2 linked regions of the Lytechinus pictus genome follow. Each later gene encodes a partner of the first gene's protein in a complex. Links are inferred from orthologs where the notes say so. Each region holds a gene or a part of one and is shown on either strand. Other genes may lie near its edges.

Region 1 (7,613 bases):
GCATCATTTAGAGCTCATCAAGACCTTTCATTTAACACCCTATTCATCTCAATAGCCCCAGTAGCCTCAACAGCTGCCATAAACATTCAACTACGTAAAAACACTTCAGGCTCAGCCACAACATTGCCTTGGCTTCACTCACACGTATTGCAAGGTAAGTATGCTATACTAACCTTGCACTACGAACGTGTTTACGCAATGGATTTTAGAGATGTCAGTTAACATCGCTTCATAACACAAATAATGTTAGCCGAAACTCATTCAGCTACTCACCAGGGCTTTTTTTTGTTGAAAAGCGTTCTATTTTCAATTTTAAAAATATTTTAAATATAAAAAGCACATAAAAAAGAGCAAACTCGCTAACCTCGGCCTGGAAAGTGGCTTCGCATGTCTCTTCCACGGAAATGAAAGGAAGGTCGTTACTGGCGCTAATACAATTCACAACCTTAATTCAGCTTGTCAGTATTTTTAAACTAGATCCTTGATTTATTGTATGCGCATTTCCTATGATTGTTTGATAAAATAGAGACACACATTGGACACTTTGCCGACTTCACGTAACGCTTGCATCGACTTTACGTGTAATACAGTTTTTGTGCCTAGTCAAAACTGTTTTTGTGCAAATAGTCTAAATCAGTTCAAATCCAGACTTGAAAAATTTTGGCACAACCATCCTCTGAAGTACAGACCTTACCAAAGATAAGAAAATCAACGAGTAGCACATAAGCAGATTGCTTTACATCTCAACATCCAAGTAAATCCAAGTAGTCTTTCCCTTAAATTAATTAATTAATTGTAGTGTCTTTGATATGAGGATAAATCGCGCGCCCTCTCTAGCTAATTAGACGGAAAAATATTTGGGAAATAGAAGCAAGCTCCGTATTTTGTCAACGAGAAGAAAAATCAATGCTTAAATTGACGCTATTTGAGGGATATTCATCATATTACATGCATTAGGGGGAATTGACTTCCATGACATGCATCGTTCGGTAAGTTTCATAGGATTTGATTTTATGAATCATCTTCTGAAATTTGCAGGAGTTTGTTGCAATTTTGCATGCGCCTTGCCTTCATTTTTCCTGTACACCCAGTTGGACGATCAATTTTAGAAAGTCATTTGGAAAAATTTACAAGCGAAGTTTCAGCAATTTTTAGTACAAAATGTTACTGTTAGGAAATATTATAAAGAACAAAATAGAAGATGACTACAATTTAGATTAAATTCATATTCTTAGTGTAATCCAAACAAAGACAAAAAAGAAGGCTTCAAAAATATAAAGTGTCCGGACACCCGACCCCCATCCTACATGGCGGCAGTAATGCACCCATGGCATGGGTGCCTTGGGCTTGGCTTTTGCCCTGCCCCTGGCTTGGCCTTGCCACATCGCCATCGGGAATTTTAAGCTCCATTATTTTCAGTTCACTTTCAGCATCGATCGATCTTGTTCTTAATCTTTATTCTTAGTCATGTTAGTCTTCTTCTTCTTCAAGCTACACTGCCTCCTTCAATCCTGAAGATTCTTGCAGTATTGTAGTACCGGGGACCGGCAGGTGCAATACACCGGGTGAACACCCTACTCTTTGACGAATAGTGTATTGGTTTTAACGTGAATAGGTTGTGACTCTCCTATAGTAGCTATACACGGGACCAACATTTGCGTCCTTTCCGATGGACGGAGTGTTTTCCAACTGCATTCACACCCGCACTGAACACAGCGGTGAGGCACGTTAACACACAACGCTAGCATCAGTTTTTTTGTAAGACGTCTTCCGGCATGCTGCGGGACTCGAACCCACGCACGTTGAGATCTACGAGTACGATCTTATCCGGAACAGGCGCTCTAAGACCAAGTCTAAGACCTAAGTTTCTAATCTAAGTATGGTTGGAACTACCCCTTATCGACCACCTAATCTTCTCAGCATCGTATCTGCGAAAATATTCATCAATTTTACCCAGTTTTAGTCCCATTTGTGCAGAAAATTGAGCAGATCAGATTCCCATGTTTCGCTCGGCGACTCCGATTCAATCCGCGTATATATCGACGAACAACGAATACAACGATTTTACATTTGCTCATTTGCACCCGTCTTTTGAAACCGACCACCCGCGATACACTAAGTTTACGGCCGATTCTTGTCGCGGTGGCGAAATATTTTTACTCTTCCAAATCAGTTCTATGATGTCAACATGCTAAATGATCGTCTCACTACTTCCACTGCGAGCTCCGGCACATGATTCGACGATTGACGACGGATATTTGTTCTAAAGCCGTTTCCTATCGGACTTCTTGGTTTTTCAGCGGGAATTGGGTCTGGTCAATACAATTTTGATTAATTCTACTAAATTTTTACTTTTTGTTGCTTCTTTTTTTCTCGTAAAATCGATTCTTACCGTTTCTATGGACACTGCGCCTACTCTCCCGCGCGTATCGTTTGTAATACGCAATAATTTTAACGCGCGCAAGGTGGTCGGTTTCAAAAGAGGTGGTCGATATGTGGTAGTCTCACCATATAGTAACTAGTGAGTCACTAGTCTAACCGACCGAGTCTGACTCTGAGCTACACTGCCTCCCATCTCAGTCGGTCTCAGTAGGACTTCATCTTCACAGTATTATTTTTTATTATTGACTGAAGTAAGTGATCAAAATTTATGCAAACGTGCAAGTCAAGTCAAAGGTAGAAAAAAAAAACGGTCGAATCGAAACACAGAAACGTGATTGCCCCTACGCCCTATATGCATAAGAATCGCACGCACGGGCATGACGGGTTGAGCTGGTGTATGGACCGGATACGGACTACACAACACGGCGTTAGTTTACTTTAAAAAAAAATATTTTAAGTTCAAGTTTATGCAGGTAAGCAACGATAAATTTGTCATGTAAACCTATATAATCTTGGCTCACCTTATCAAAAGGACTTCAATTCAAGCCGGGTGAGACAGTGATTGTCCAGTGATTTTTTTAACGACAACTCTTCTCATGGGTCCACTGCGCTGCCAGAAGAAAAGTATATTTCACGTTATATTAGACCAACGAACGTAGAGGGCAGCAACACACAAGCGTGTTGCTCTATCTAGCTAAGGAAGGTCAACTCCGCTCGAATTTTGTGACCACTCTAAAAAATAAGGTGGGGTTTTGGGAAATTTGTCGAGTTGATTTTTTTTCATTTGATAATTTCAAATATTTTTAATGAACAATTATTAGATCGCTTATTCTGGGTATAAATATTAAAAATATTATTCTTATTTTTAAAGAAAATATTTAGCTTCAATAATCATGATTTTGACATTTTTCCTCATTTTGGAATATTAAGTCTATGACGAGGATACCCCTAATCTGTTATTTTCTTCTGCTGAATTTCGCTGCACCACTAATAAATGCATAGACAACCACCGTAATAATCGAGGTCATTTTTCCGGCCTGGGTGCGCCGAGTCTGGGCCGGTCGCGCAGCTAGCTATAGTGACGTTGATGATGCGCTGGGGCTTCAGGCGACTCGTCATAGATCTTCTAGCAACATAGACAATGACGTCTAATTTGCCTGGCCTGATTTGAAGTGTAATGGCTTCAGGGCTGATGTTAATCAACGATGATTGTTCAAGGTTAGATTTCAAATTTTAATTGTCATTTGACTTTTAAGTCTATAAATCTGAAATAAAGGCGCTGTATCCCCGAAATCCGGGTCTAAATTTCAACTCCGAGTCCGAGACCATGGCATGGACGTCGAAAAACAACAACCCACGCATCGGATGCATTGCATTGGCTGCGCGCTGCGCTGCAGCTGCACTGTGATGATGGATTCAGCGAAGAGCTCAGAGAAAATAAGGTGGTCATATTCAATCCCGAAATGCTTTGCGAGTGGTCACAAAATCGTCTCGACGCAAATCACCTAAAGGCCACCGCACACCTTACGACTGTCCGCGATCCGATTTTGGAACAAATCGCATTTTGCTCATTTTCTGAAAATGTGAATGGAACATATCATTTAATTTGAGGTTTAAATTAATTGAAAGAATACTAATATAACCATTTTGAAAGATTGCAAGCCTTTATTTCTGAGTAAAGGCCAAATTAGTTTCAAATCGTAGCCAATCGTACGACTGCTATGACGTCATTACGACTAGATATTAAATTCGCTTTTATTCTAAGAAGGATGATAGCATAGTCACAGATTTGAACATAGGTATTCGTACGATGATTTAGAACATTACACAGTAAGATATTCCAAATCTCAATGTTAGCATCAAATTCTACTACATTTCATTCTGAAATCGGGTCGCAGACCAATCGTAAGGTGTGCGGTCGCCTTAATACAGCCGTCTGGTGAAATCGCTGATAACAACAATCACCGATTTGGTAATGATTTAGTTTCTAAAACTTATATTTGTAAAGTTTTAAATATCAACGTATGTTTTCAAATGTACGTATATTCTCCAACATAATTTTTTAATGTTATCTTTGATATCGTTGTAGTCATATTCTTTCATATTGTTTTCGTGATCGCTACTAATTTGTTGTTGTATTGGATCGGCGTATGATTTCGTTGGCATAAATGATAAAATATGCGCGTACCTCAGCTGCATGCGCGTATTGAGTTGACCTTCCTTAGAGCAACACGCTTGTGTGTTGCTGCCCTCTACGTTCGTTGTAATAGACGTAGACAAACGAACGTAGAGGGCAGCAACACACAAACGTGTTGCTCTATCTAGCTAAGGAAGGTCAACTCCGCTCGAATTTTGTGACCACTCTAAAAAATAAGGTGGGGTTTTGGGAAATTTGTCGAGTTGATTTTTTTTCATTTGTTAATTTCAAATATTTTTTAATGAACAATTATTAGATCGGTTATTCTGCAGATCATCCGAAAAATCAAGATGAACAAAAACATATAAACATTTAAAAGAAATACATAGACGTATACAGGGGCCGCGGAGCGGGGGGGGGGGGGGGGCTTCAGCCCCCCACTTTTTTCCAAAACCGTGTACAAAAACGTAAAAATTACCATATGATTGTGATTTTTGCATGGTCAGCCCCCCCCCCCCCACTTTGAAAACCGTTCCGCGGCCCCTGGTATAGGCCTATCACCAGAAAGACTATAATATATAGTCGCATTCACCTGTGTGCAAGAACATCACAATTCCCTTATCAAAATGTGCTTATCAAGAGTGTACAAAATAATAAAATTATACGTCCCTAACAATTAAGAGGGATATATTATGATATAAATTGTTCCTTTTCTTCTTGTTCTGGCCATGACTTTAAATCATATTTGTCTATTAATAATCAAACTGCATATTTCAGACCTATTTCAAGCACTGAAATAATTAATATTGTTATTGTTAAATACAAGTCCAAGCTATAATGGTATATATAGTATAGAAATGTCGGTCATTAAAAAAAAACTATTTTGATCAGCAGTGAGCCATTAAGTGCATTATTTAATAAGTGTTTTGAATTGGGATCATTTCCATGTCAACTACAGATTGCAAAAGTTATTCCAGTTCATAAAAAAAGGGTCCTTCTGAAATTATGTCTAATTATCGACCTATCTCATGCAGTATACAAGCTATCTTTTCTAAAATATTAGAAAAATGTATCTATCTATAACCGATTGTTAAATTTTATCATAAAGTGCAATGTATTGAACCCTACTAATGATATGGTTTTAGCCAGGATATTCCACATCTGCTTTATTGGTAAATTTTATTCAGAAAGTTACTCGTGCATGCAATAGATGATGAAGAAATTATGATTGCTTGTTTATAGATCTCAGCTGAGCTTTCGGTAAGATCGACCATTTTATTTTATTAGAAAAAACTAAACTCTTATGGAATTAAAGGAATCACATTGGATCTTTTCAAAAGTTATTTAGGTAATCGCAAACAATGTAGTGATAAGTTTTATCTTAATATTGCAAAATGCGGAATTTCGCAGGGTTCAATACTCGGCCCTCTATTGTTTTTATTGTACATGATTTCTGTATTAAAAGGCCTCTGACCAGTGGCATACCTAGGATTTTCCACAGGGGGGGGCAAAACCGTCCGCCCAAAAATTTAACAAGCAAAAAAAAAAAAAAAAAAAAAAAAAAAAAGGTCTTCAAGTCAGGGGGCATTGAAGGACTTAAAGCTCGTCAGAGGGGCAAAAAAGGTTTTTCAAGCCCGTCAGGGAGGGCAAAGATACGTTTTTGCATGGGTTGTGACTCGTCAGGGGGGCAGAGTGCCCCCCCTGCCCCCCCCCCCCCCGTAGGTACGCTAGTGCCTCTGACCTTTTAAAATGTATTCTAGTTGGCTTCACCACCTTTCTCTAGCTCATCTTTCATGATCATCGAGAAACGCAACCCGGATTAAAACCAACTGGTGTACGTATTTCCGTGGTGTGAACGGGTGCTTTACCTTCCTTCCTGGTTTTCTCCCTCCGCTGCTTTCGGAGATCAGCCCTATGAAGGCAATAGTATCCATAATAAATAACCATCCAGGGTTAAGAGTAGACAGGACAAGTCGTATACCGTTACCGTATAGCAGACGCTCTTGACTTTCATGATTGATGTGCTAACGAAGCGACTGGCGAATGACCGGATAAAATGTCTGTTACTCGATTATGGTAAGTAATTTCGATGATTATTTGTATCTGCAAAACTTTTGATGCATTTTGATGTATTTGCAGTAGTTTGCATTCAAATTAAGCCCAGAAAAATAGTATAAATCATGTTATGCCCGCTGGGAAGCCCAGTCCCATACGTTTAAAATTGTGTTTCCTTTTCCATATTTTGGAGTGTCGCGGCACTCGCACGTATTGCGAGGTTAGTTAGTATACTAACGCCCGTAACGGTAACAATTTGTTTAACAAACGTTGCGAATGTAATTATGAATGATGCTATGATTAATGTTTGGCCTTAACATGTGTTTTAGTTAAACATATGTGTAAGTACGATGTTATGGATGTCTGAAAACGCTAAACGTTACATCTGCATCTTAAACTCAGTCTCAGTCTCAGATTAATTTTTCTAAGACTAAGTCTAGACAAGGCCTGGCTTAGGGAAGTTCACCCTGAAAAGTTCATTGTAAAAATAGCAGAAAAAATAATTATAAAAATCTTGGCGAAGGTTTTAGGAAAATCCATCAGAATAAAAATTGATTAGAATTGTTATTATCTGGTTTGTGACGTCATTTGCGAGCAGCTTTCCTACATATCGTATGGTAATTAAAATTTTTTTAAAAGGTCATGGGAAGATGCAGTGTCAAATAAACTTGAGGATCTGGGAAGATCACTGACAGAGATGACAGATCCTGACCAAGCTTGCAAAGATTTCACAGATACCATACAAACCCTGGCAGCTGAAAAGATTCCTCGAAAAAGGATATGTAGACATAGCAAGCCTTTCTGGAATTCTAAAATGTCTGAGCTCCTCAAGCTTTGCAAGCTCTCCAAGAAGACGTACAAGAGAAGGAGAACACCTAACAACTTTACTATCCATCAAGGAAATGTATCAGAGTTCATGGTGGAGTACAAGAAGGCCTTTCAAGAGTGGCAGCTTGAGAAATGCGAGCAACTAAAAGAGAATTGTGAGAACCCATGGAGAACTATCAACAAATTACTGAATGGAGGTACCTCTGCTCCT
Region 2 (7,060 bases), about 19 Mb from region 1:
TGTCCAGTTTTTAGGTTGGAAAATCAAAAACTTTCAGGAATCTAATAAAATAATGCTAGCGCGAAGCGCGAGCATTATTTTATTAGATTCCTATCCTGTTCATGATTTTTATAAAACTGTTAAGAATGTACAGTTTTTAGGTTGGAAAATTACAAACTTAAGCTCGCGCTCGCATCTATTATTTAGTTACATTCCTATTCTGTTCATGATATGAAAAAGTTTTACGAATGTTCAGTTTTTAGGTAATTCCTAGCTATCCTGTTCATAATTTGAAAAAGTGTTACAAATGTCCAGTTTTTAGGTTGCAAAATCAAAAACTTTCAGCTCGCGCTTCGCGCTCGCATTATTTATAGAGGCCTTTCATCTTTAGTCAGGAATACCTCCTCTTCGAAATGTATGTATGTATATATATATTATAATTATATATATATATGTATGTATGTGTGTGTGATGGTGTGTGTGTGTTTGAGTTAGTAACTCTGTAGAACATAACAACGGAAAACTCAAATGTGGCCCCCTTAATTTTAGGAAGAGATTTCCGCCCATGTCCTAGCCTGGATCTTCTGAGCACCTTAGTTAATGGTGAACTCTGCCAACTCTGGTCCAGCAAACTCCTCTGTCTGTCTTATGGACGTTCCACAGTTATGTTTGTGCGCATTATGATCTGCGCATATTTTAAACTCTGCGCGCTGACGTCACAATGGATGAACAAGTGATTAATTAGCTGTGAGTATGAGCTGAATTTTCTCATCATCTGCACTCTAACTGCAGATCCGATGCGTTATTTTATGAAGCTAAGAAAATAGAATTATTCCATGGACCATTTTTTTAAATATCTCTACAATTTCAAAATACTTTACTCTGCAGTGCTGCCAAGAATCACGAATATGTCCCCGAGTTTGAATAAATGGTAGAGTGGTTTTGATTTTTTCCTCACATAGATACAAAGCATTCGACGCATTTTTGGTGTTTTAAAAAGCACATTTGCTCTAATAAAAATGCTGATAGTTTATAAACAAGCACATGAACCCCTATTTTTTAATGTTTGTACTTCTTAGGTATACCTTCCTCTACAACTTTGCAAATTTTGGTGAAAATGACATGGATTTTGAATAAAGTGCAGCATTTATTGTACGTTTGTAGTTTGTTACTGAAATTTTACATTTTTTAGATTGGGATTTTGTTATATTTTACGCAATTTTTAAGAACTGACAGTGCTGTTAAACTTAAAATTGCAAACAAATAGCACTATTAATAGATTCTCAATTCTAACGATACAATTATTAATTCTCTTGCGAAATTTGATGACTTTTTCATGTATTTTGACTGAGTAATGGAGGTTTAAACTCATTGTAGTAATCTTGGGCGGTCTAAAAATGCCAAATTCTTTTGAATGCGCGAACTTTGAAGCTCTATAGCAAAAAATCAAGCACATGGACCTATGTTAATTTTTGCATATTTCGAATATTAAGGTTCTAAAGTATCTATGTGCAAAGTTTGGTGAAAATGACATGGATTTCACTTTAACTGTGGAACGTCCTTAAATGCTGTCCGTGCATCACCTTCTCTTTCCATCCTTCCAATCTCATTTTCCTAGGATCAGCCTTCAGCTTTCGCTGTCATATCCTTTCCTTTCCTCATCGACTCTCTGACAAATAATAGTAATAGTTATTATTGTTATTATTATTATTGTTATTATTATCATTATTATTATCATCAGTGGCGTAGACAGGTTCGTACACCAGGGGGGGATGACTGGGCTGCCAACGCTGTTGAGGGCGCGAAGCGCCCGAGCGAGGGAGCGAAGCTACCGAGGGGGGGGGGGGAGGGTGTGGGAGGGGGGTGTCCCCCCTCCCACGGTAGGGAGCTTTTGCAATTTTGAACTTGAAATCGTGCAATCTGATGCATACTTAATGAGGTAAAATAACACACACAAGCGCGCACGCACACACACACATACTCACCCCCCCCACACACACACACACACACACACGGGTGCGCGCACCACACACATACTACGCCTTGAATGGACAGACATACATCGACAAGATCTACACACCGTGGCATACGAATACAGAATGGACTGACACATAGTATTGCATATTGAACCACACTACGTATTTATTTATCTCTGTGAATTTTGCTGTTACACCTCTTCAGAAAAAAACCCAATGTCAACTGTGTACACGCAGGTATAGTCTTTGTTGTCTTGATATGGGTATGTGGTTATGAATGAAAACAGCCTCTGTGGCCATTTGTGAATAGAACACATAAACAACAAACAAATAACAATATGTCTGTTCATTATAAAGCATAATGAATACGTACATACTATGCTTTTTTTTACCTCAAAGAAACAGGCATAGTATCCATAGATGGATATTGGCTGGCGGCTCATTAACATACAGATACAAAAAACATAAACAGTATCACTATGATCCATGGAGTAACAATACTGCTCTGTAAGTTTGTGAAGAAATCGGAACCATAACGGCATTGCATCGTTTCAAATTAGAGCATTATTTACTTCTATTTGATCTCAGTCTTATAATAGTAATAATAATAATAATAATAATAATAATAATAATAATAATAATAATAATAAAAAAAAATAATAATACTAATACAAATAATAATGCTAATACTAATAGGTTCCTTTTATCTCGCATTTCAAGACAGGGTAAATTCACACTGCGCTTTACATGAAACAAACTTCTTTAAACATTTCAAACTTATGTCTTCATGCATCAATCAACATACTTTAAATGAATACAAAACAAAGTGCATCTTAAATAAAACAAAAATAAATAAATAGTTAACAATACAGAAAAGATGTAGCTGCTGCAAGCTTAACAACAAACTAATGTATACCAGTCAGTCCTGATATCAGTATTAGTGTAACAATAGTCATATAGTGGGAGCATGAAGTTGAACAATTCATGATTATACATAATTATATATGTTTGTTTGAATAATACTTGTTATAAAGATAGTAGTATGGTACTCTCTGTCACGAATTATTATGTATACTGTTGTATCACATTCATTTTCTATTCTGTTTTAGATTGCGCTGATGCATTTTACACACAATGTATAATGCCTATAACACGAGTGGGCCAGACCACACATGTATTTCAATAAAAACCGACTTGAGAAAATAACGTGTATATAAATATATAAATAAATAAATAAATAAATGCATATAATGTATATATATATGTATAAATATCATATACCTGTAATATAATCTGATATAAACTAATAAATAAATAAATAAATATAATACATATCATATATGAGAAGGTATTGCTAGTACTCGGTTCGTGCCTGAAAAGTAGTCTCGATGAAAAGAAAAAAAGTTGTTGCTTCATTCCCATACCAAAAACAGCTTGATTAACAGTTGCTAATCAGATAATAGAGACATGCGGTAAGTTGGTAAACTTACTTAAGGAGCATTCATGGCTCAACAAACAAACATATCGGTCTCTTAGTCAGTTTTACTTTTGTAGTCTTGCAAATTTGTGTCTTAGAAACCAAATATCTTGCGCCTCTTTTCGTTCCTGCCCAGTAAATACTTGTAAGATTTTCTTTTTTTTACCGTCTGAATTGGCTTTCACCGTGTGAATGCGGCTAATAACAATAAACACAATTACAATAATGATGAGGATTATTATTATCATCATCATAATTATTATTATTATTAATATTATAATTGTTATCATTATTATTATTACTATTATTATCATCATTATGACTTATTAAGTAACCAAATATCATTCCCCAAAACCTGGGGGGGATGATTGTACATGCCATCCCCCCCACCTTGTGAGGTGGGGGGGATGCATCCCCCTCATCCCCCCCGTTGTCTACGCCCCTGATTATCATTATTATTTTAATCCTTATCCTTACCATTATTCTATTCATTTGAGTTTATTAAACAAATATTTTGCGGTTTGTGATCGAGGTGGATGATCACGTCACTGGTCGATCAAATCAAAATCGATTGCTTTGCTGCCATCTACGACAATAAGTTATACAGCTTTTGTCAAGATGGCTAGTTCCAACAAAACCCAGCCCCGCGATGCCGAAATTATGACAGCTATTTTGAAAGATATGGGAGTGACAGATTACGAGCCAAGAGTGATAAATCAGATGCTGGAATTTGCATATAGTGAGTATTGTAAATGAAAATGAGTAAGAAATAAACTATAAGTCAAAAATATCTTGAAGAATCGGGCACATCCAGTGCAGTGGCAGTGGGACCATGTCCATGGACTATGACGATTTGCACTCGCGGGCCCCATGCCATGGGGCGCGGTGGGGCCGGGCAGGAGCTATGATAACCCAGGGAGCTCCCGCCCGCGCAGCGGGAGGGAGCCCAGGACTGGCAGGAGCTTACCGTGTATTTGACCATAGTCACCGGACTAGGCCTAGGGTGATTTATGGTCTAAATATTTCTCCAAATGAATTGTGAAAACAGAAAGTATACCACAATTATATGGATGAAGGTCTAACGAGTGGCAGTTTCCGGACATCTGGGCACAGACTGGAACCTCAAAAAAACGAAAAGTTCTCTCCTCTACCCCAGTCCCCAGTCTCGATCGGCCATTTTGTTACGATTTTTAACAAAAATGGCCGATCGAGACGGGGGTAGAAGGAGAGAACTTTTCGTTTTTTTGAGGTTCAAGTCTGTGCCCAGATGTCAGGAAACTGCCACTCGTTAGACCTTCATCCATATAATCGTGGTAATTGTATACTTTCTGTTTTCACAATTCATTTGGAGAAATATTTAGACCATAAATCACCCTAGTCCGGTGACTATGGTAAAATACACGGTAAGCCCCTGGGCTCCTGCCCGCTGCGCGGGCGCTCCCTGGGTTAGGGCTATGACTGAGTATGACGGCGTCCGCGTCAAGGACGTGGACGTTTTATAGTAATAGTGGCAAGGTGCCCCAAGACTGTTCAGTGCCCTTTAGGCTTTAATAAAAAGAAGATACCAAAGACCACAAAATATAGAATCTACACCCCTGAAATACATACACAGATAGGCGTGTTCATTAAAAAATCCGACTCAAAATGGTGGAAAAATATTGAATTCAGATTTCAGGCATTTCAATGTCACACTGGGGTCACGGCCTCAAAATGCAGCCTTTTTTACTTTATCATCAAAATCGTGTGTAACGTTAAAGTAAATGGGTGCGCGGACAAGTCAAGGGGCACCTTCTTTTGTTCAATCTGAAAATGACTGTCCGAGGGTTTTTCCAAGAATTTAATAGAAAATCATATATATTTTTTTCAAATTTTCACGAGATTTTTGGCTTACGGTACCCATTAAGAATATAGATAAGGAACAACATCAACTGAAAACTTTTGTGGAATAAAATTCATGTTTAACTTTAATCTTAAGTTAAAGTTTTAGGTGCGCAGACATGGGGCTCCCCTTCATACTAGTGGATCGTATTATTACCGATTGCTTTTCATGAATTCAATCATATCAAACCAAATATTCTTATAAAATTCACCAAACTTTCACCATAAATGCATGAATACCTAAGTTATAAATAATCTAGAACCTATGTAAAAATTTTTCCAAAATCGTTTTCTTTTTTACGCTATCAGCATCTAAGCCAAGGCAATTGGACCCCTCTTCACAGTCCTCGGCTTTGCATGTCGCCATGTGAACTGAAATCTACTACTGAACATACTGTTTTCTATGGGTGAAGTTGAGAAAGCAACAAAATCGCTGTTGAGCTAATTATTTTTAAAATATTGTATGAGTTTGAGAATAAAGATCTAGATCTGACAAAAGACTTTGAAAATGTATTTTGGACAATTTTCATCATCTTTCTATTCAATTTCTCTTTAGAATGATGTTGCAAAGTTTTGAGGGTATGAAATTATACTCTGACGCATCCTTTAAGTTTGGGACGTTGAGCTCTTTTGTTCCCCATAATCAGACTCTGGGCAGAAGATCCTATTAGGTTATATGAGTGATGCGCGCGTTCTCTAGACTGTAGACTCACTAGACTACTGACTTTACACTATTATTCCTATTAACAATTTTTTTGTTTTCTTTGTAGCCTAATGCTAGGCTCAATTTTTGTACTGCTTTTCTTTAAAATGTTGATCCCTTAATTTGTATCTGATTTATATTTGTATTTGGAATAATATATATATTAATAGTTGTTTGTATGGAAAGCAAATAAGAATCAAAGAATGGAAAGGTGTTTCAATGTGAAAAAGTTCCTTTATGAATGATGCAAAGTAGGTCTAGGCTACACCCTTTCATGTAATTTGCTTCTGGGTCACAATACTCCAGACTTTTTTATCGGATGGGCGAAAACATTTTTCAGATATTAGATTCAGGATTCAATTATATTTAATTGGTTGATGCATTCATGCAAGCTTACAAAGAAATTGGCTTTCAAATGCACAAAATACACAAAAGATGGAGAATACAATGTATCATAACAATTGAAACCTAATTTCAATTTCAATTTATTGACCATTAAAAAAAACATCAAAATATTTACAGAAATAACATGATACCAACAAAATAATACAAAATATAATGGGTAAAAAAAAGGTTATGAATAAACACACACACCCACACATCATCACACAATGCAAAAACAACACAGAAGATAGAATAGAAGATAAGACAAGAAAAAAAATGATAAAATACAATTACATGGGGGGATTGGAGTTGTTTAAATAATTGAACAAAAAATGACTTTGATAGTGACTTAAATCGCGAATGTTGTGCTGTTTTTTGATATCATATGTGAGAGAATTCCATTCTTTCACCCCGATATATCTGATCGAATTACGAATAAAATTAATTTTAGAAAAAGGAATACGTAAGTTGATATGTTGTCTAGTAGGGTAATTATGAATTTGAGAGTTTGAAAGATTGGGGAGAAATTTTCTGGAAGGGTGGCTTTGTGAAATTTAAACATGAAAATCCATGTATTTAAAGGGATGGTCCGGGCTGAAAATATTTATAATTTAATACATAGAGTAGAATTCACTGAGCAAAATGCTGAAAATTTCATCAAAA

The links. Proteins that work in one complex are often made in the same cells at the same time.
Region 2: the proteins of transcription initiation factor TFIID subunit 6-like (region 1) and transcription initiation factor TFIID subunit 9-like are in contact, whole or in part, in a crystal structure (PDB 1TAF), measured with the Drosophila melanogaster proteins. The link is inferred for Lytechinus pictus from reciprocal best matches to the Drosophila melanogaster genes Taf6 and Taf9. Residues at the interface, in NP_524161.2 of Drosophila melanogaster: Gly18, Ser19, Ser20, Ile21, Ser22, Glu24, Ser25, Met26, Ile29, Ala30, Ile33, Val35, Ser37, Leu38, Ser39, Asp41, Ala42, Glu45, Leu46, Asp49, Val50, Ser51, Lys53, Leu54, Lys55, Ile57, Val58, Gln59, Ala62, Gln71; in NP_523391.3 of Drosophila melanogaster: Lys20, Asp21, Val24, Ile25, Ser27, Ile28, Leu29, Glu31, Leu32, Val34, Glu36, Tyr37, Glu38, Arg40, Val41, Gln44, Leu45, Phe48, Thr49, Phe50, Tyr52, Val53, Thr54, Ile56, Leu57, Asp58, Lys61, Thr71, Ile72, Asp73.

The regions. Positions count from the first base shown.
Region 1 is NC_087260.1:23,354,037-23,361,649, reverse strand, and holds the start of transcription initiation factor TFIID subunit 6-like, read right to left. Parts: upstream 3,023-7,613; 5' UTR 2,904-3,022; intron 2,856-2,903; exon of another isoform or gene 2,735-2,855; intron 1-2,734. Other genes in the region: acyl-coenzyme A thioesterase 9, mitochondrial-like, read left to right, coding at 3,560-3,600. UniProt on the Drosophila melanogaster protein: TFIID is a multimeric protein complex that plays a central role in mediating promoter responses to various activators and repressors.
Region 2 is NC_087260.1:4,330,403-4,337,462, reverse strand, and holds the start of transcription initiation factor TFIID subunit 9-like, read left to right. Parts: upstream 1-4,039; 5' UTR 4,040-4,050; coding exon 4,051-4,171; intron 4,172-7,060. UniProt on the Drosophila melanogaster protein: TFIID is a multimeric protein complex that plays a central role in mediating promoter responses to various activators and repressors.